Macaca mulatta: one gene and its partner. The protein of the gene in region 1 interacts with the protein of each later gene in a pairwise test. Links are inferred from orthologs where the notes say so. Each region holds a gene or a part of one and is shown in the gene's direction. Other genes may lie near its edges.

What was found. The genes of interacting proteins can lie anywhere in the genome.
Region 2: the proteins of RBSN (region 1) and EHD3 interact in binary tests that used the Homo sapiens proteins (3 or more experiments, as listed by UniProt). The link is inferred for Macaca mulatta from reciprocal best matches to the Homo sapiens genes RBSN and EHD3.

Annotation. Positions count from the first base shown.
Region 1 is NC_133407.1:153,877,701-153,888,125, reverse strand, and holds part of RBSN (rabenosyn-5), read left to right. Parts: intron 1-1,510; coding exon 1,511-1,581; intron 1,582-4,332; coding exon 4,333-4,419; intron 4,420-5,347; coding exon 5,348-5,450; intron 5,451-6,805; coding exon 6,806-6,910; intron 6,911-7,591; coding exon 7,592-8,743; 3' UTR 8,744-10,425. UniProt on the Homo sapiens protein: Rab4/Rab5 effector protein acting in early endocytic membrane fusion and membrane trafficking of recycling endosomes. Required for endosome fusion either homotypically or with clathrin coated vesicles.
Region 2 is NC_133418.1:93,689,944-93,700,468, reverse strand, and holds the start of EHD3 (EH domain-containing protein 3), read left to right. Parts: upstream 1-5,436; 5' UTR 5,437-6,034; coding exon 6,035-6,261; intron 6,262-10,525. UniProt on the Homo sapiens protein: ATP- and membrane-binding protein that controls membrane reorganization/tubulation upon ATP hydrolysis. In vitro causes tubulation of endocytic membranes. Binding to phosphatidic acid induces its membrane tubulation activity.

The DNA of each region.
Region 1 (10,425 bases):
GGAGAATGCTTTGGGAAGTTGTTCGTTTGAATTATTTGTAGTTCCTGTTAAAGGCCCATGTTATGATTTCCCAGCTAGGGCCCTGTGTGAGTCAGAGTCATCCTGGGTGTGTTGTAGCAAACTTGTTTCAAGTGGCCTTCCTTGGCTACTTGAAAGCAGGAGGGTGGAGGCTTTGGTGGCCCAGAGGCAAGAGGAGGAAGGGCAGTTGCCACGTGGTGTAGACAGGTTCGGTGGGGAGAGCAGAAGCTAGAGATGTTCATAAACAGTGGGCCAGAAGAATCCCGGGAAACTCACTTGGGAGTGTTAGACTTTCCAAGTTTTAGAAAGTTCTACAAGTTTTCAGACTTCACCAGTTTACTGAGTGTCCCCTTCTCAGTTTGTCCAAATGCCTCAGCTGTCATTACTATGAGCGATCCCACAGCCCCCCTACTAGATGCATACTCTGAGAGGAAATAGTGTGCAAAGACTATCTGGGAGTGAGACTGGCTTGGTCCCTTAATGGCCGGGTGAGACCTGTGAGCTGAGGAGGACTAGCCAGGTGGACTGGGTGGGCAGGCAGTAAGAGATGCAGGGAAGAGATCAGCCCAGGCAGAGGAAGCAGCTTGTGCAACATTCTGAACAGAGGAAGATATATTTTTGTCTGATGACCACTGAATAGTCATTGTTAGCAGTTCTGCAGGTCATAATGGCAGTGTTTCTGGAATCCCCATGTAAATACTCAGGCTACTAGAAATGGTGTTAATTAAGCCCCATGTTGGGTTGCAGATGTAGCCATTCTCCATCCTTTGTGTGGAGTTCATGACCTGGTATCTCATTTCTGTGAATACCCACTGTGCTTGTGCCACTTCCTCTTTTGAAGTGAGCCCTGGCAATGCCTTGTGCTGGTTTCCTAATGTTGCCTGGCATCACTTGGCAGAGAAAGAAAGTAGCAGCTAATTCCTTTTTGTCTTGGTAGACGCCTCGGCTTGTGCCCTGGAAGCCTTACTCCTCTCAAAAACATCTGGCTGGGTGTGGTGGCTCACTCTTATAATCCCAACACTTTGGGAGGCCAAGGTGGGCACATCACTTGAGGCCAGGAGTTCAAGACCAGCCTGGCCAACATGGCAAAACCTTGTCTCTACTAAAAAAATAAAAATTAGCCGGGCGTGGTGGCGGTGCACCTGTAATTCCAGCTACTCAGGAGGCCGAGGCATGAGAATCATTTGAGTCCAGGAGGCAGAGGTTGCAGTGAGCGGAGATTACGCCATTGTACTCCAGCTTGGGTGACAGAACAAAACTCCTCAAAAAACAAAACAAAACAAAACATCTGGTCAGAAGCTCCATTCTCACTTTCTTTCCTTCCTACAAAATTTTCTGCTTGGAAAGTAGGTCTATAAATCAGGAAATTGATAACAACAATTAATATGTTGGAAAAGTGAACATTTATATATCTCCATTGATGGAGCCTAGCTTCTGGGTAGGCTTTTCTGTATCTTGAGCATACCACTTACCGCTTTGTTTTTGTTCTTAGAAATTACGACTTTGCATGGAGAAAGTTGACCAGAAAGCTCCAGAATACATCAGGATGGCAGCATCATTAAAGTAAGCTATTCATCTATGTTTTTCTAATCCAGTGGTGACTGTTTTCTGGCATCTTAGGTCAGTTCTCCAGTAGCCAAAAATGAAAATCTTAACTTCAACTGTGCTTTTTTTCTGAGACCAGCTGAAGTTGGTTTTTTTCCACTTTTGGCTGTTATGAAGAGAATCACCTTCATGTCTGTCTTTTAGTGGGGTACATGTTACCATCACATGAGCTTGTAAAAAGACAGCCACATTCAGTTGACCTTGGCTATTCTGACTGAGCAGGTTTGGGAAGGGCCTCAGACAATAGGTACTGCTGCTGAGTGCAGCATCTGGACAGAGCAGAGGAAGGGCAGTGGGTCTCATGCTCATGCCTGGGTAGATGCCACTTGAGTGTCACATTGAGGTGTCAGGGCTTAAAGTAGGCATGTCCATTAGAGCAGGGGCTGGCAGACTGCAGCCCATGGGCCAAATGTATCCTGACATCTGCTTTTTTTTTTTGTTTTTGACTCTGTCTCACTGTTGACAGGCTGGAGTGCAGTGACGTGATCTTGGCTCACTGCGACCTCCACCTCCCGGGTTCAAGTGATTCTCCTGCCTCAGTCTCTCAAGTAGCTGGGACTACAGGCACACACCACCACGCCCAGCTAATATATATATATATATATATATATATATATATATATATATATATTTTTTTTTTTGGCAGGGGGAGGGATGGAGTCTTGCTGTGTCGCCCAGGCTGGAGTGCAGTGGCGCAATCTGGGCTCACTGCAACCTCCACCTCCTGGATTCAAGCAATTCCCATGCCTCAGCCTCCCGTGTAGCTGGGATTACAGGCACACGCCAACATGCCCTGCTAATTTTTTTATATTTTTAGTAGAGACGGGGTTTCACCATGTTGGCCAGGATGGTCTTGATCTCTTGACCTCATGATCCACCCACCTCAGCTTCCCAAAGTGCTGGGATTACAGGCGTGAGCCACTGCCCTTGGCCAACATCTGCTTCTTTTTTAAAATCGAGATGTAGTTCATACACTATAAACTTTACCCTTTTAAAGTGTACAGTTCGGTGGTTTTTAGTGTATTCACAAAATTATGCGAACATTACCACTGTCTTCATTCTAAACATTTTCATCACCCCAATAGGAAACCCCATACATTAGCAGCCACTGCCCTTTCCCCATCTCCCTGGACACCACTAATCTATTTCCCGTCTCTATGGATTTGTTTGTTTTTGACATTTCATATAAATAGAATCATAAATATAAAATCTCTCTTGTCTGGCTTCTTTCACAAAGTGTAATGTTTTTAAGATTCATCCATGTTGTTGCATATATCAGTACTTCATTGCATCTGTATGAATGTGTTGTGTGGATACTTGTCACATTTTGTTGATCCATCAGTTGTTGAACATTTGGTATTTTTCCACTTTTGGCTGTTATAAATAATGCTCCTGTAATATTTGTGTACAAGTTTTTATGGTTTTTGTGTAGACATGTTTTCATTTCTCTCAGGTAGGTACCTAGGAGTGGAATTGCTGGGTTTTATGCTAACTATATATTACCATAGAGTAACATTCCATAGAGGAGTTGCTAAATCGTTTTCTAGAATGACTGCACTATTTTGCATTCCCACTAGCAGTGTATGAGGGTTTCACTTTCTTTTTAGCCTTACTAATACTAGTTATTGCCACCTGTTTGCATAAAGTTTTATTGGAACACAGCCATGCCCATGTTTGATTACTGGTTGTAGCTGCTTTTGCACCACCACGACAGAGTTGAATAGCAACAACAGAGACTTTGTGGCCTGCAAAGCTGAAAACATTTATGATTTGGCTCCTTATGGAAAAAATTTGCTGATCCCTGTTTAAGGGCATGGCTTTTTCTGAAGCTTAGTGTTTGTGACCTAGAAGTTGAAGTGCTAACTACTAGAGTCAGATCCCAGTAGTGTTTTCCCAACCTATAGGAAAAGAATTAATTATGGTATCCAGTGTTATTAATTTCAGAGTTTTCTGACTTTGTCTTAAACCTGTGTTGCCTCTCTGCCACATTTAAAGCAATGCATGTAGCAGTAGATTTGCCTTGTTTAAAACAAAACCATGTGTGTGTGTGTGTGTGTATATATATATATATATATATATTTTTTTTTTTTTTTTTTCTTGAGACCAAGTTTTGTTCTGTCGCCTAGGCTGGAATGCAGTGTGCGACCTTGGCTCACTGCAACCTCCGCCTCCTGGTTCAAGCGATTCTCCTGCCTCAGCCTCCTGAGTAGCTGGGATTACAGGCACCCACTATGATGTCTGGCTAATTTTTGTATTTTTAGTAGAGACGGGGTTTCATCGTGTTGGCCAGGCTGGTCTCGAACCTCCTTGGGTACTTTTGAGCGAGAAAAGCCAAGTAGTTTTCTGCTTTTAATGTAACCAACTGATTTAGTAAACCACTTCTAACATCTTGTTAGAGGCAGTGGAATTGTTTAGAGAAAGTAGGCCAGAGTAAATTCAGCCGCATTTGTTTTGGTGATGAGCATAAGGGCTAGTCCTTGGAGGCGTCAACCTGAGTCTGTCCCTATTGTGTCTGCAAATCGAAACGTCACTTCCACTTGATTCATCATTCCAAGAGATGGACACTGCATTATATCCAAAAGTCTGAAATGCCACCTTTAGAGAATTACCTGCCTTTGTGAGGCCTTACACCTTTAGCATCCTTCTACACTATGCTGGCCAGTCTGCACTATGAAACTTAGGTCACGTGTCTCTGTGGTTTCTCCTTAGTGCTGGGGAGACAACCTACAGTCTGGAACATGCCAGTGACCTTCGAGTGGAAGTGCAGAAAGTGTATGAGCTGATAGACGCTTTAAGGTAAGGTCCATTAAGTGGTATCTTGCCCGCTGGTGGAATGGAGAAGATGCTGTTCTAATGAAATGGCGAAAGTAGACCTGCACTCACTCACACTTCTGGTGATGGGGCAGTGGGTGAGGAGGAGGGCAAGGAAGGGGCCAACTCTGGCACTTAATGCATCTCAGTGACTTTTGTTTCATTAAGGATTTCTAATGTTTGTTATTGTTAAAGAAAGAGGAGCTAGTTATTGACACCTATCATGTGCTACTCACTGGCTGTTTTCTCTAGAATAGCTCATTTATTCTGAAGTTACCCTGTGAGGTAGGGATTAACATCCTGTGTCAAAGGTGAGGAATCATGTCACAGATAGCAAAAGTTGTGGAGCAAAGATAGAAACTCGGGTTCTTTCTTTGTGTCTGTGCTCAAATCCACAACTGCTTTTTAACTGTGGACTGGCCATTGGGGTTAAATTAGCCCTTTGATTTATGGGAAGTACAGTGACTCAGAGGGAGAATGAGATGAGGCGCTTTTGTCCATCCAGACATACAGCATGGGCTACGTAGATGCAGGGCCTGGTACAAAGTGAAAATGCATGTCCCCTGTCCAAAAATTATTAAGAATAAAGACACTAACAGCAGAGCATTAAACTAAGCATAGGGCTCTTTGAAGTGCCAGTCCTTTCTAGTTGCATAGGTTGCTCACCTGTGAAGCTGGCTCTGCATGTGTAGTCAGTCCCTCCATGACAGTGTTGTGCGCCCTGTGCTGAGGCCTGTGTACGGCCAAAGGGTAAGAAATGGGCTTTGCCTTCAAGGAAACTTCGATGGAGTCACTTGCCCATCTTTACACACCTTCCTGGCATGAAAGCCTGGCAACTCCAGATGTTATACTTTTCACCCTTGTTTCTGAAGCTGGCAGTGCTCATTATATTCATGTGTTTGTTCCAATTCAGTAAGAAGATCTTAACCTTGGGCTTGAACCAGGATCCTCCACCACATCCAAGCAATTTGCGGCTGCAGAGAATGATCAGATACTCAGCTACACTTTTTGTGCAGGTAAAGCCATCCTGGGTTGGCATAAATGTCATGCTTGGCCTGTCCTGCTCTTTTGCTTCCCCAGAGGCAGATCCATGCCAGTGACTTGTTTACTTCCTATTTATACATTGTATTATTTTTTGAAATTATGAATGCATGATGCCACACTTAGAGAAAAATCTGGATTTCAGAGAAAACTAAAACTACTTTTAATCCTATGTCCCCATTACAATCACTCATTATTCTGGTATGTTTTCTTTTTTCCTATTTGTATTTTTTATATACAGTATTTACAATAGTGCATATTGACTGTATATGCCATTCTTTAACCGTTTTCCTTTAGTTGAGCATTTGATAGACTAATTTTTTGCTGCTGTTAATTGTTGCCATGATAGTAATACTGGTACTTAGTATTTCTTCCTTAGGATAATCTCCTAAGAGACTTCCTGAGCCATTAGCTGGGAGGAAACAGCCGATTAAGGGCAGACTAACCTAAGTGGTTAGGTCTGAATTGTGTCTTTCTACCCGTGAAGGCCCCTTCTGAGAGAGTCACAGTTAACCACCCTTGGGGCTCCCTGACAAAGAGATCTTTTTTTTCTTTTTTTTTTTTTAATTAAAACAAAGTGTTTTTTTCTTTTTTTTTCTTTCATTAAGTAGGGACAGGGTCTTACCATGTTGCCCAGGCTGGTCTCAAACTTTTGAGCTCAAGCAGTCTGCCCACCTCGGCCTCCAAAGTGCTGGGATTATAGGCGTGAACCACACTGCCCCCAGCCAACAAAGAGATCTAATAGATGGAGTCCTGTTGGGTTAGTTTTCTGACTTTGTAATACAGAGAAGTAGGTCCTTCCTCACTTTGATTAGTGATTCTATTCAGCAATCATTTATTGAGCGCCTCCTATATACCAGGTAGTGTTTTAGGTGCTGGATGTCCTATAGTGAACAAAAAAGACCAATGTTCCTGTTCTCATTAAGCTTGTGTTCTAAAGAAGGGGAGAGATCACAAACAACTAAAATATCTAGTATATAAGATAGCAAAAGTGCTGTGGAGAAATTTACAACAAGGAAGTGTGGGAGAGAGGACTGGGATTGAGGTTTGCTAATAGGATGGGCAGGGACAAGACCTCATAGAGAAGCTAACATTGGAGCCAGGTGAATAACTGGGATATCTGATGTTGATCATTTCATGAGGAAAATGCAGGCCCATTTGGAGTTGACTCTCACCCAATATAAGAGTGTGCTCCTTTCCGGCTACTGTCAAATGATGTCACTCTCGGAGAATAGAGTGGCTCAGCTTAAGCAAACTCTCATCATGGGGCTTAAGGGTCATTTTTTCTCTCAAAGGGTTTAAGTGTAAAATTGTCTGTCATTCCCTGCAGGAAAAGTTGCTTGGTTTGATGTCACTGCCAACCAAAGAACAGTTTGAGGAACTGAAAAAGAAAAGGAAGGAGGAAATGGAGAGGAAGAGGGCCATGGAGAGACAAGTGAGTGAAGCCAGGGATATGGGGCCCGCTTCCTCCTGTGGTTCTCAAGCACAGAGGCTGCCGTGAGCTCCCAGCTTGTGTGGGGTTGTAGTGAATCAGAACCTCTCTCTCAAATGTGCATATTTCTTCTGTTGTGTTTCAGCCTCACTTTTATCTATGGGAACTAGAATAATTGTTTTTCTCCCCAGGTCCTATTTTTCTTTCAGAGCTTCTGCTGATTCTCTCATGGCTAGAATATCACAGAGATTAACAGTTCTCCCTATGGCAGAAGTTGCAGAGGACCAAGACATTAGGAAGTTCCTTGTAGAACATATTGGTATATGCAATATTAAACAGAAAATTATATGTGTATTTAACGCTGTGTGAGATTCCAGTGTAGATGAGGGGAACAGACCTCAGAGGTTTAAGAAGAGTATATGGCCTGTGAATCTAAGATTGAGAAAATCTGATGCCCTAACTTATTCATTATATTTTATTTTTATTTTTGAAAATCAGGGTCTCCCTTCTGCCCACATATACACAAAAACATGACTTGATTTTAGCAGTTGGATATCTTTGTCCTGAGGTGAGAAATTGGAGTGTCACTGGCACAGGGATAGAGGGACAACAGAGGGTGGGTGACAGTGTGGGCTGTTGCCAGCATGGTGACTATTTCTTCTCTCTGCTTTGCTCTCTCCCCAGGCTGCCCTGGAGTCTCAGCGAAGGCTTGAGGAAAGGCAGAGTGGCCTGGCTTCTCGAGCAGCCAACGGGGAGGTGGCATCTCTCCGCAGGGGCTCTGCCCTCTTGAGAAAGGCTGAGGGCTGGCTCCCGCTGTCAGGAGGTCAGGGGCAGAGTGAGGACTCAGACCCGCTCCTCCAGCAGATCCACAACATCACATCATTCATCAGGCAGGCCAAGGCCGCGGGCCGCACGGATGAAGTGCGCACCCTGCAGGAGAACCTGCGGCAGCTACAGGACGAGTATGACCAGCAGCAGACAGAGAAGGCCATCGAGCTGTCCCGGAGGCAGGCTGAGGAGGAGGACCTGCAGCGGGAACAGCTGCAGATGCTGCGTGAACGGGAGTTGGAACGAGAAAGGGAGCAGTTTCGGGTGGCATCCCTGCACACACGGACTCGGTCCCTGGACTTCCGAGAAATCGGCCCTTTTCAGCTGGAGCCCAGCAGAGAGCCTCGCACCCACCTTGCTTATGCTTTGGATCTAGGCTCTTCCCCAGTTCCAAGCAGCACAGCTCCCAAGACCCCGTCACCTAGCTCAACTCAACAGCCCACCAGAGTGTGGTCTGGGCCCCCAGCCCTTGGCCAGGAGCTCTTAACCCAGAGCAGCATGCCACAGCAACATGAGGGGCCCTCCTTAAACCCCTTTGATGAGGAAGACCTCTCCAGCCCCATGGAAGAGGGCACTACTAGTCCTCCTGCTGCCGGGGTTTCCTTCGACCCTTCAGCCCGCATGCTGAAAGAGTACAATCCTTTCGAGGAAGAGGACGAGGAGGAGGAGGCAGTGGCAGGGAATCCATTCATTCAGCCAGACAGCCCAGCTCCTAACCCCTTCAACGAGGAAGATGAACATCCCCAGCAGAGGCCCTCAAGCCCTCTGGTTCCTGGCAACCCCTTTGAGGAACCCACCTGTACCAACCCCTTTGAGATGGACAGTGACAGTGGGCCGGAGGCTGAGGAGCCCATAGAGGAAGAGCTCCTCCTGCAGCAGATCGATAACATCAAGGCATACATCTTTGATGCCAAGCAGTGTGGCCGCCTAGATGAGGTAGAGGTGCTGACAGAGAACCTGCGGGAGCTGAAGCACACCCTGGCCAAGCAGAAGGGGGGCACTGACTGACTGGCAGTGGAGAGGGCACCTTTGGGCCCAGGGGTCTGGCAGGAGCCAGTGGAGCAGGACAGAGGGCAGGCAGGGTGGATGGGGAAGGTGGCAGGGTGAGAAGTCAGATGCACACAGGTGAGGGGCAGGAATCTGCTGTTTTGTGTTGTGCACTTTGAGGTGTTTCCACTACAGTTGAATAATAGAATAGAAACTAGAACAGGGAGAATCAGCATTTATTTGCTGTTTTTCCTGTTTATTATTACTATCTTTTGTAATTGGAGGTTTACCCCTTTTGAAGGGACTTTACATTTTTACTATCGAGATATAACTAAATGCAGCTCTGTTGGGCCCAGGGCAGAAATGGCTGCTGTGTACCTCTTGGGTCTATTTGCTACTGCCTAGTCTTGGTTCCTTTTGCAGTATTATAGGGCAGCCTTTATAGAGCCCTTCTTTAGCCAAGACAGAGAAGATAGATTCCACTGAGCTATATTCTGCTCTGACAGAAGTCCATCCCTAGTAGGCTTTGAGTTCCATTTCACCTGGGGCCGCCTCTCCCCTGCTCTGCGCTTCCTGTCTGTACAATAGCAGGGGGAAGTGCTGCTATGAAGGGGAGAGTTTAGATCCAGGAGAGCCCAGCACCTCTTTTTAAGGTGGGGTGATGGGAACATTTCACCAGGGTCTATTTTCTCAGTTTAAGTTGTTTTTTGTCTCTTTCAGGAAGTTAAGCTGCCAGTGCAGGGTATCAGTGTGAATCTGGTCCTGAGCTTTTTAGAAAATAAGAGTGGTTAACTTTTTGGTTGATACTAGTATTACTTGTGAGAAGAGTTTCCCCACCCTTGTTCTGATGGAACAATTGTCTGTCACTGGAGAAATCTCCCTCCAGAGCTTTGGCAAAGTTACTCTGATCTGGGTCTGTTTAAAAGGCCTGGTCTCTAATTTAGGAATCGGTGATCTGGAAGCTTTTGCAAAACATCACCAGAAGAAGGGAAGCTTCCCAGAGTCAGAAGCTAAATTAATTTCCAAGGCTATTGGATCAGCCGTCTTCCCTTCTGGTTCACTGTGTTCTGACCTGGGGCACTGATGAGATTTTTTTTGTTTGTTTGTTTTTGAGACAAGAGTCTCACTTTGTTGCCCAGGCTGGAGTGCAGTAGCATGATCTCAGCTCACTGCAACCTCCACCTCCCCAGTTCACGTGATTCTTGTGTCTCAGCCACCTGAATAGCTGGGATTACAGGTGTGGACCACCATGCCTGGCTAATCTCTCTATTTTTAGTAGAGATGGGGTTTCACTGTTTTGACCAGGCTGGTTTTGAACTCCTGGCCTCAAGTGATCTGCCACCTTGGCCTCCCAAAGTGCTGGGAATACAGGCGTGAGCCACTGTGCCCGCCCTGATGAGATGTTTTATTACCAATGTTAGTATTAAGAAACTGAAATGTTTGAAGAAGCACAACCCAGGATCGTGCTGGTAGTACCCACAGTACTTAACTATTAGTCAATTAAGACCAGAAAGGGAAATTGTTAATTTAGCTCTGGTGCTTTGGTTTACAGGAACATAACCCTTAACTGACATCTGATATCATGATAGCCACATGTGCTCAGCTCCGGGTAGAGTTTCTGCAGTTACTCATCTTAACTAATGAACAATAACTGACCACTGGTCACTTTATGCCCTGTAACTAGCTTTAGGCCATACTTTCAC
Region 2 (10,525 bases), on another chromosome or scaffold:
AAATACTAAGCTTATTCAATAGTTTATTCGACAGCTTGTTAAATAGGATGTAAGGCAGTGCCATGTAGTAGATACAAGTAATAATGATTATAATATTAAGAGCTAATATATACTGAACACTCTCAATGGACCAGGCCCTGAGCTAAGCACTTTACACGCATTGTCCCTTTAATCCTGAAAAAAAAGTTATTGCCATCTTTATTTCAGAGACCAGGGTGCTGAGGCTTGAGAGTGAAGCCACTTTCCCCAAGCTCACACAGCAAAGACATGGGGACACCGGGACTCCATCCACTGCAGGTTGTCTGACTGGGAACCCCCATGCACCTGGCAGGTGACAGAAATAGGAGGCATGTGCTGGGTTTGGAAGAGACACCTGGTGGGAGAGAGCCCTGTGGAGCCAGATGGGGCTGAAAACAAATGTTGAATGGGAGAAAAGTCGAGTTCCAGAGACACTACATGTAGCAGGATATGCTTTTTATAAAAAGTCCAAAAACACTAAACCTCAACAATATGTTCTTTCGGTTTGCATTTGTGTGTAACAGTAATTAAGAAGCAAGGTAACAATACACAGTAGATTCAGGATAGCAGGCTCCTCTAGAAAGAAGGAGAAGGGGCAGGAGACAGGATGGGGAGGAGCACATAAGTAGATGTAAATTACTGCTAATTTTTCTAGTCCTCGGTTTGAATGATGGGTTCATCAAGGGTCCATTACATAAATATGTGTTAAGTTTTTAAAAAATATAATAAAAGAGCCAGGTATAGTTTGTCTTGAACCACAATTATGAAAAAAAATCCAACTTTGTGCATCCAAGGATCAGTTTTTTTTAAATAAAGGATAAAAGGAATAAGAAATGAATAGCCAAGTACTCACTATCAAATTTGAGAGATAATCGCCTGGCCAACATGGTGAAACCCCATCTCTACTAAAAATACAAAAATTAGCCAGGCGTGGTGGCTCATGCCTGTAGTCCCAGCTACTTCGGAGGCTGAGGCAGGCGGAGAAACTCTCGAATCCAGGAGGTAGAGGTTGCAGTAGGCCGAGATGGCACCACTGCACTCCAGCCTGGGCGACAGAGGAAAACCCTGTCTCAAAAAAAAAAAAAAAAAGAAAAAGAAAAAGAAAAGAAAAAGAAAGAAAACAGTGTATATATAGTTGAAGCTCCTTGTGTTTTGTGTACCCATCCCCAATGCCATTTCCCTTTTTAGTCCCCAGAGAACACCTCATTCCTGACTAGTGTTTTATGTTCCTTTGCTTCTCTTTTAAAAATTTTCAATGCACACATATGCATCCATGAACAACAGATAGTGGTTTTTACATGACCGAAAACATTAATGAAATTGTATGATTCTATGCATAATAGCCTACTTCTGGCTTTATTCACTCAACACTATATTTTGGCATCGGTAGCACCACTTTCCTCATTTTTCTCATCTGTAGAGTATGTATTTTTTGTAACTTTTATTTCAGGTTCAGGTTCAGGTTTGTTATATAGGTAAACCTGTGTCATGGCGGTCTGCTGTACAGATTATTTCATCACCCAGGTGTTAAGTCTGGTACCCAATAGGTCTTGCTTTTTGTTCCTCTCCCTCCTCCCATCCTCCACCCTCAACTAGACCCCAGTGTGCTATATATTTCACATGAATGTGGTACAATTCATCCATTTACTCGGTGAAGGACATTTAGTTGTTTATATATTTTTGCTGCTACAAATAATGCTACCATCAACATTCTTAGACTTATCTCCCTATGCACATGTGCAAGAGTTTCTCTAGATCATGCCTTGAAATAGAATGGCAGGTCATGCACATCTTCAGCTTCACGAAGCAATGCCACATTGTTTCCCAAAGTGTTTGTGCCAGCCTGCACACCCACCAGCATTTTATGAGAGCTCCCATGGCTCTACATCCTCACCAACCTTGGTATCATCCAACTATTTCATTCTTGCCATTTTGGTGGGTATGGAGTGTTAGTGTGGTTTGGCATTTCTCTAATTACTAATGAGATGCAACATCTTTTCTTGTGTTTATAGGACATTCATGTAGCCTCTTGTAAAAGACATTTTTGTGGCTCTTGCCAAGTTTTTGTCTATTGGAATGTTTGTCTTTTTTTAATCAATGTACAGGCATTAATTCTATATTCTGGATATGCTTTTGTGGGTTTTTGTGTATGGGAAATATCTTTTCACTCACTTTTTTATTTTTAGTTGAACGACAGTTTAAAATTTTGCTAGTGCTAAACTTAGTTTTTTTCATTTTCAGTTTGTACTTCTGATATCTTGTTTAAAGAATTCTTCCTGACTTTGTGGTGATATATATGCAATCTCTAAAGCAACTTCTGTAGATATCAGGTTTCCAAATTTCCTGGCTATTTACTGTGTCGTTATTCTGTTGGTCTCTGTGCCAAAACCATCTTAACCACTGCAACTTTATAGTAATGTCCACTAGGGCAAGTTCTCTTCACTTAGTTGTTGACATTGCTATGTTACTGTTGTCTTCTTCTCTTCCCTGTTCTCCTTTTTCTTCCCTCCTTCCCCTTCCACCTCTCCCTCTCCTCCTCCTCCTCCTCCTTGTTCCTCTTATCTTCTTTCTTCTCCTGGAATATCTAAGCTATATTTTACTATTGCTCTATATGCTATACATTTTAGAATCACCTTGTCAATTTCCATGGAAAACCTTATTTAGATTTTGATTTCAATCATATCTCTCAACTATTGAATTTATCAATTATGTTGTAAAAATTCACATGTTTGTGACACGGAATCTTTCCACGATGGAACATGACATGTCTCTCCCATTTATTTAGAACTTCTTTAACATCTTTCTATAAAGTTTTATCATTTTTCACATAAAGATCTTGCACATCTTTTGTTAGATTTATCCCTAGGTTTTTGTTCTTTTGAAAATGGTATCTTTTTTGAATATTATCTTTTATGACTTTTTATTGCTAGTCTACAGAAATGCTCCATTAGTTCCTTTTTTAAACAGACAGATTTCAACTACTCAAGACTCAGACGGGAGTAGATGTGTCAACAGGCACTCAGCAAATTAGATATTCAGAACAGACATTCAGCAGACAATGGCATGGTTGTACTGATTACAAAATTCTTGAAATATTTCCATAATGGGGCCCCTTGATTTCTTTCCTGTCACGCTGGCCATCCTGTCCTCTCCCCGGGGACAGGCCCAGACCTCTCCAAGGTCCAGACACCACTGTATTAACACCAGGTATGGCACAGGGCTCAAGTCTTGTTCCACTGGGAAGGCCAGTGTCTGTTCTGGGTGTTTGATTCTCATACCTTGTGAGTTGTTAAATATCTTTAATATTATTTCTTAGGTTTGTATGCTGGTAGTAACTAAATACCAAGGGTGAAATATTAATCTGAGTGAATTCTCAACAAGAGGTGATCAGTTTTGGGTTTCAAGGACAGAGTCGGGAGATCTGAGATGTAACTAAGGAGATTCTATTCAGCACTGGCCTCTGATCAATCCGCCCTCCTCTGAAATCCCTGCAGCTTCACCATACTCTTCTTGAAGCTCCTGCAGGCACTTCAAATGCAACATGTTTTAGTTTAAATACATTATATCTGTCTGCTAAATCAGCTCTCTCTGTGCCTCCCCTAAATAGTGGAAGAGCTTCTCCGACGATCTTATCCCCTATGGTAGAAAATTCAAAATCATCCTAGACTGTGCCTCACCCTGATGTCCTCTTTTTTATCACGTACCAAGATCTGACAATTCTATTCCATGAAAAAATCTTTTGAGTCTGACCTCTTCTACAATCCCATTGCTGCTGTCAAGTTTTGGAATCGTTTCCTAAATGGTCTCTTGGCCTCTGTATTAGTCTGTTTTCACACAGCTATGAAGAAATACCCAAGACTGGGTAATTTATAAAGGAAAAAGGTTTAATTAACTCACAGCTCTGCATGGCTAGGGAGGCCTCAGGAAACTTACAATCATGGTGAAAGGGGAAGCAAACACGTCCTTCACAAGGTGGCAGGAGAAAGAAGTGTGAGGAGCGAAGCGGGAAGAGCCCCTTATAAAACCATCAGCTCTCACGAGAACTCACTCAGTATCATGAGAACAGCATGAAGGAAACTGTTCCCATGATCCAATCTCCTCCCACCAGCTCTGTCCCTAGACACGTGGGGATTACGGGGATTACAATTAGAGATGAGATTTATGTGGGGACACAGAGCAAAACCATATCAATCTCCAACCTCTTGCTCCTCCAGTCCCTGCCCCCGACACTGCTCTTGGCATTCCAGTCCCTGCCTGGTCCATAACCTCCTCCTTCTTCATCTGTGAAAGGGAGGGTAGTGGGAGCCATCAGCCTGGGCAGGGAAGAGTGTTTTCTCACTATACTGTTTAGAATGGTGCCAATACAAAGCACATCAACTTTCAGCCAGTTTATTACTGGGTTTAAATTCTCTACACACAATGCACTGCTTTTGCCTACACCTGAACGGTGTTCCCACTCACTCTCCTTGGTGTGATGCCGGAGATAATATGATCTGCTATGAAGGTTAAATAAAGCAATGTTCACTGAGAACTCAGCCCAGGCCCCTGTACATGCTGAGCATTTTGTTAATGTAACAATGATTAGTAATAGCATTGTTATTGGTTCCTCATCTCTGGCAAAGCCTTCCATGCTTGGCCTCCCTCACTCTCTTCCACCTTCCTAAACCCTACACTCCAGCTATGCCAAACAGTTTACTCTGCCTTAGACACACCAAGTTCTCCCATGTTCCTCAAGCCTTTGCAAATGCTCCTTATGCTGCTAGAATAATGAATGTCAATTCATCATTTAGGATCCAGCTTACAGTCATGCTTTCCGTGAAGCATTCCTCAAATTAGCCACACAAAAGGAGTGAATCCTCCCTGTATTCCCATGGCCCTCTGCTCATGCCTCCTCTTTAAAGCCTGCCTTCACTGGAGTTCCTGGAAGGAAGAGTCTGTTCAGCACTCATCTCTGTATCCACAGTCACCAAAATTGTATCTGCCCCATAATAAATGCCCAATACTTGCAGGGATTTTGCTTGTTGGCTTGTTTTGTTTTGCTGGAATGAACGAATAAATAAAAGGGAACGATTATGACTTCACCCTAAGCCTAGCTAAAAGTTTGGGTAGTGACAGTTTTGGTCATTTTGTGGAACCTGATAGCGGATCCTTCTTTCTATGCCAAAAAAAAAAAAAAAAAATCCCAAATAGTAGAGTACCTGTTTTCCTAGGGAATTGACCTCAGCAACCGAAGGAGAGGCGATTCAATGCAGGGAGGGTGATGAACAGGTCAACTCTGTCCTCGCAGCCGTCCCTGAGAGGGCGCTGTTCCCAAATCGAAGCCCCAGAGGCGGAGACTGAGACATCGGCGCTCTCCCCCGGGACTGGGTCAGCATCCCTCTACCCGCGCGGCCGCAGGTCTGGAGCGGAGCGCCTGCCCACAAACATGGCGGCGCCCTGCGCGGCTTCCCGTCGCCGGGACCGTGGGGCCGGCCCTGCCTTGCCAGTACTCGGGGACTTCCTCCGCGCTCCGGCTTCCTGCCCAGCTGGCATTTAAACCAGCGCCTGGGGCTGCAGGATGCTGCTGCGGATGCGGAGCTGTCCGCGGGCTGGGCAGCGTCGCCGCCTCCCCTGAGCCGCCTCGGTCCGGCAGGAGCGGAGCCGAAGCATCCCTTGCTGCACGCAGGGCAGAGCAGGCAAGGGCTGGGGGCCGATCGGGGACCCCGGCATCTGGCAGTTTCCTTGCAGGTTCGACTTTAATTTCCAAGATTGCACCCCTCCTCCTCTAGCCCAGATCATTAATCCTCCCTCCGGCCTGGGCTGCTGGATGCAGCGGCGGCCGGACTTGGTCCCAGGAGCAGGGAGAGTGCGCTCCCGGCCCTCCTAGCCGCGTGCCCGGGCCATGGTGCGGCTGAGCTCCGCGCTTGGGTGAGGCGGCGGCGCGGCTCGGAGCCCGGTGGACCGGTCCTACGGGACATCTTTCCCTGAGGAGGAGTCTTCCCCTGGGGCTGCGTGCCGGGGACGAGCGGCGGCCGCGATGTTCAGCTGGCTGGGTACGGACGACCGCCGGAGGAAGGACCCCGAGGTTTTCCAGACGGTGAGTGAGGGGCTCAAGAAACTCTACAAGAGCAAGCTGCTGCCCTTGGAAGAGCATTACCGCTTCCACGAGTTCCACTCGCCCGCCCTGGAGGATGCCGACTTCGACAACAAGCCCATGGTTCTGCTGGTGGGCCAGTACTCCACTGGGAAGACCACCTTCATCAGGTGAGCCGGCCCAGGGTCCCGGCAGCCCACCCCGGAGCCCAGCACCTAGTCCCTCCGGTCACTCCTGGTGCTCCACTCCTGACAGGGGACCAATGGGAAGCCTTCAGTTGAGGGCTCTGAAGATATATGTGTGTGTGCAGGCGTCAAAATCTTACCCCATAATTTTTGCTGGTCCCCCTTCCCATGCTACCCAATACCTGTACACTCTACTTGGCCCTTGGCTCTAGTGGTCAACCTGAAGTATTCAAGTGTAAAGCCATTCCTGGTCTCCCCATCTTATGGATGATGAAATCGAGCCCCAGGAGGCACAATGGAAGAGCTCCTGGTCTCTGGAGCGCCTCATGCTGGTGGGGATGTCTTGCATCTTCACTTTTTAGAAACACATCATTTCGGGCAAAACCTCTTCCCTTGCTTTTCAAGGGGCTTGGCACTCACTTGGGGGCCTCACAGTTGCAGCTGAGTTCTGATGGGTGCAGGCCTGGGGACGGAGGTGGCCTGGGGATGCTACTTGTCCTTCTTTTATCATTTCCTTCTCTAAAGCAGAGCTCCTGTGTATATATGTATCTTGGAGACTCGACGGAGTCCAGAAGCAGAATGTTTTTTTTTTTTCTTTTCTCTTATTTGATCTTAATGGCTCGATAATAATATTAAAGACTCTTAGAGGTGGAAGGGATATTGGCATTGTCTCATCCAGTTCCTGACTTTGCAGGTGAGATAACTGAGGCACAGAGAAGTTAAATGAATTGTGCAGAGCCATCTAAAGAGTGGGCAGCAGACCTGGGATCTAAGTCCTAGATGCATGTGAGGAGATGGTTGGCTAAACGCCTGTAACTCTGAGAGTGAGTCATCCATTCCCTTCAGTTACAGAATCCATGGGCTGGAGAGAAGCTCAAGAAGTCAATTTGTTCACCCTGCATTCAGAGAGGTCCACCAGAGGCCCTTCCTATCTTTAGATAACAGGCTTCTCTCCAGTCGTCAATCCTCCCAACTTCAAGGCCGGCCATTTTTCTTGGCCTCTTTTACAGCCATTCCAAACTGTTGAGAATGCTGTGGCCCTCTGTCTTAAGAGTCAGGCTCCCACAGACTGAGAATGGAGTTTGGTGGACCCCCAAAGTCAAGCGTGCTCATCTCCTGCAGAGGGTTTGGAAAGCAGGGGTACCCGTGTTCCTATTCCTTGGCTGTCTGAGCATCCACAGCATGTGAAATGCTGTGCTTTGTTTGGTGAGGAGAGCAGAAAAGTTAACAGTCTAGTTACTAATTTTCTAGGTACTAATTTTCTCTAACATCGACCTTGTAACACAAGCCTTCTGGAAGTAGCACCATGCTAATAGGTGATGTCTAAACACAACACCACATTGAGTTTGTCCTTGTGGAGTACACAGCCTAGGGCTCAGCAGCTTTAAGAGGCCAAGTGATTTCTGAAGGAGTTTGGGAGATGGGCCTGTTGGCTCTTGTATGTTTTGTATTGATAGAACTGCAAGAGGCCTTTGAGATTAATCTAATCCATTGCTTCTTAACTTTCTATCTTTAGAAAAATGTACATGCATCCCAAATTTGCATATAATGTTGGGAGTGCAAGGGCCATCTTTGGACTTCAGGGTGGGAATCCCTGATCTAAGCCATGCCCCTTGTTTTATTAAGCACCCATTGCTGCCAAAGGCACTTCAGAGCTGCCTGGGTTGTGTGCAGGGTTTCCTTTGTGAGCCCTGGCCTCCACTTGGCCCATTCATGCCTCAAGGGAAATACAGGCCATTTGCAGATGGCCCTTGCCCTCTCAGCCTTCCCTGGCTCTCTGCACATATGGTATTTATAACCTTTCCTACATTATTTGTAGCTTCTCCTTCCTGGAGTACGATCACTGACAAGACAACATCCATGCCTTAGCATCTCCGGGGCCTCTTCCAGGGTCTCAGCTATAGGAGGTTCCCAGCAGACATTTTGCAGAATGGAAGGGAAGATGGGGAGAGGCGAGGATCCCCAAGCAGCAGACAGGTTTAAGTGCCTTTTGTCTGAGACACTCTACCGGCTTTGCCTGAGTCATCGCTGGCTGTTAACTGGGTCTAAGAAAGTGGCAGAGTCAAATTGCCATAGATGATTCCTTATCTGAGGGAGACAGCAAGACTGGGAGAGACAGATCTCTCTTCTTTCTTATCCTCCATGTGCAATAGTTCCCTCTCTCCACTCATGTCAGCAACTGAATTTAGCTCATGCGTCAAAAGCTGTCTCCCCTTGGGGGAGTGTCAGCCAGCACTGTAGGAGGGGTCGTACCACAGGGAACCCTCCAGAACCAAATCGTGTACTTTTCTTCTTTCTCATAAAATCCAATAAACAGTTGTTTTTAATTGGAAAATATAGAAAAGAATAAATTTAAAGAAGAAAGAAAGTCACCCATAATCCCATGACTTAGGAGAAGCTATTTTAATTTACATATAAAACATTTATATATAAAGCATATAATTTATATATAAAATATATTTCCAGTATTTGTAGCTATTTTATAGCACAGTTGAGATCATGCTGTACATGTAATTTTGTGTGCTGGCTTGTTTGTTTTTTTTTTTTTTTTTTTTTTGAGATGGAGTCTCACTGTGTCACCCAGGCTGGAGTACAATGGCACAATCTCGGCTCACTGCAACCTCCGCCTCCTGTGTTCAAGCAACTCTCCTGCCTCAGCCTCCCAAGTAGCTGGGGTTACAGGCGCCCGCTACCACGCCTGGCTAATTTTTGTATTTTAAGTAGAGATGGGGTTTCGCCATGTTAGGCAGACTGGTCTCGAACTCCTGACCTCAGGGTGTCCACCCACCTCAGCCTCCCAAAGTGCTGGGGATTACAGACGTGAGCTACTGCATCTGAGTTTTTCTTACTTATAGCGTGAACATTTCCCATGTTATAAGCATTATTTGTAAGCATTATTTTTAACAACTGCATACTATTTCACTGTTTGTATATACAATTATTCATTTAACTAATGAGTAATAACTAATGAATAGCATTGTTTTTAACAGCTACATACTATTTCATTGTGTGTATATACGAGTCTTCATTTGCTTAATCTACTTCTCTTGGATGTTTTAGGCTATTTCTAATTTTTTGTTATTGTAGAATAATTCTGAATATCTCTGTGTATAATATTTTTTCCTATATTGTGTGTGTGGTTTTTTTGGTTTTTGTTTTTGTTTTTTGTTTTTGTTTTTTTTTTTTTTTGAGATTCCCAGAAGTGGAATTGCTAGGCCAAAGGTTGGGCAGAGTTTTGTTTAAATTATTTTTTAACTTTAAAATTTTTGTATTAAGAGTCATATTTGGCAGTTGTTTTCCAAGAGGGTGAGTTGACACTGCATCCCTTCCCCAGAGCGAGTGAGGCTGCTCTGGGGTGGATAAATGCGTCCATGCCTAGGTCTCAGAAGGTCTCCTCCCCTCCCTTCTCCCATCCCTGCTTCTCGCCTTGATTCTCGTCTCCATCCCAGGCCTGAACCTGTGAGGGGCCTTTTCCTCAGAAACAAAGACTTGCCTCTTCATTCCCCCAGTTCTTGGCGTTTTGCCCCTGAGGGTCCATCTACTTTGTTATATGTGCTCGCCACGGGGTCTATTTCTTGTCTCAGGAAGAACACACAGAAAAGGACATTCTTCTAATAACTAATTAATGTGCTGTGATCTTTGCCTGAAATAACTTCCCTGGCCTAAGGCCCGGCAACACAGAGTAATAAAATAAACAGTAAATTGGCTTGGCGGCTGCCCTCTCCAACACAGGCTGCCTCTTTGGAGTACAGTAGCTCTGTGTCCTCTGGCCCTGGCAGCCTTTCCTCCTGCCTCTGCTATTCTTCTCCGTTTGCTATTTCTCTGCCTGGCATGCAGCCTTGAATCCCTCCTTCCTTAGACCATCTGGCCCCTGGTCACTCTTTCTTGCTGCCTACTTCTGTGGCCCCTTATTCTGCAGGTAGTGGAGGTGAGTAGCTGGCTGCTCCAGGGGCCGAGAAAGGCCTGAGTACTTCCGTGGGCCATGAGGGAGGCCTCCCGGGACCTTGGCAGAGCTGAGATAGGGGCTCTAGCGGGTTGACTGTGGGGCCTGGGGCTGCAGAGCTAGGCTGCCCTGGGCTCCACAGGGAGGCTGGGCTGGTCTCGAGGGTTGCACGGACCTTCTATCATGTGACTTGGACTCTGAGGCATGAGCACACGGTGGGGCTGCTGGGAGTCCACCCTGAGGGCTACTGAGCTGGCCCTTTCAGCTTCTCCCACTTCAGGAGACTGTGACCTCCCACCCCAAAGG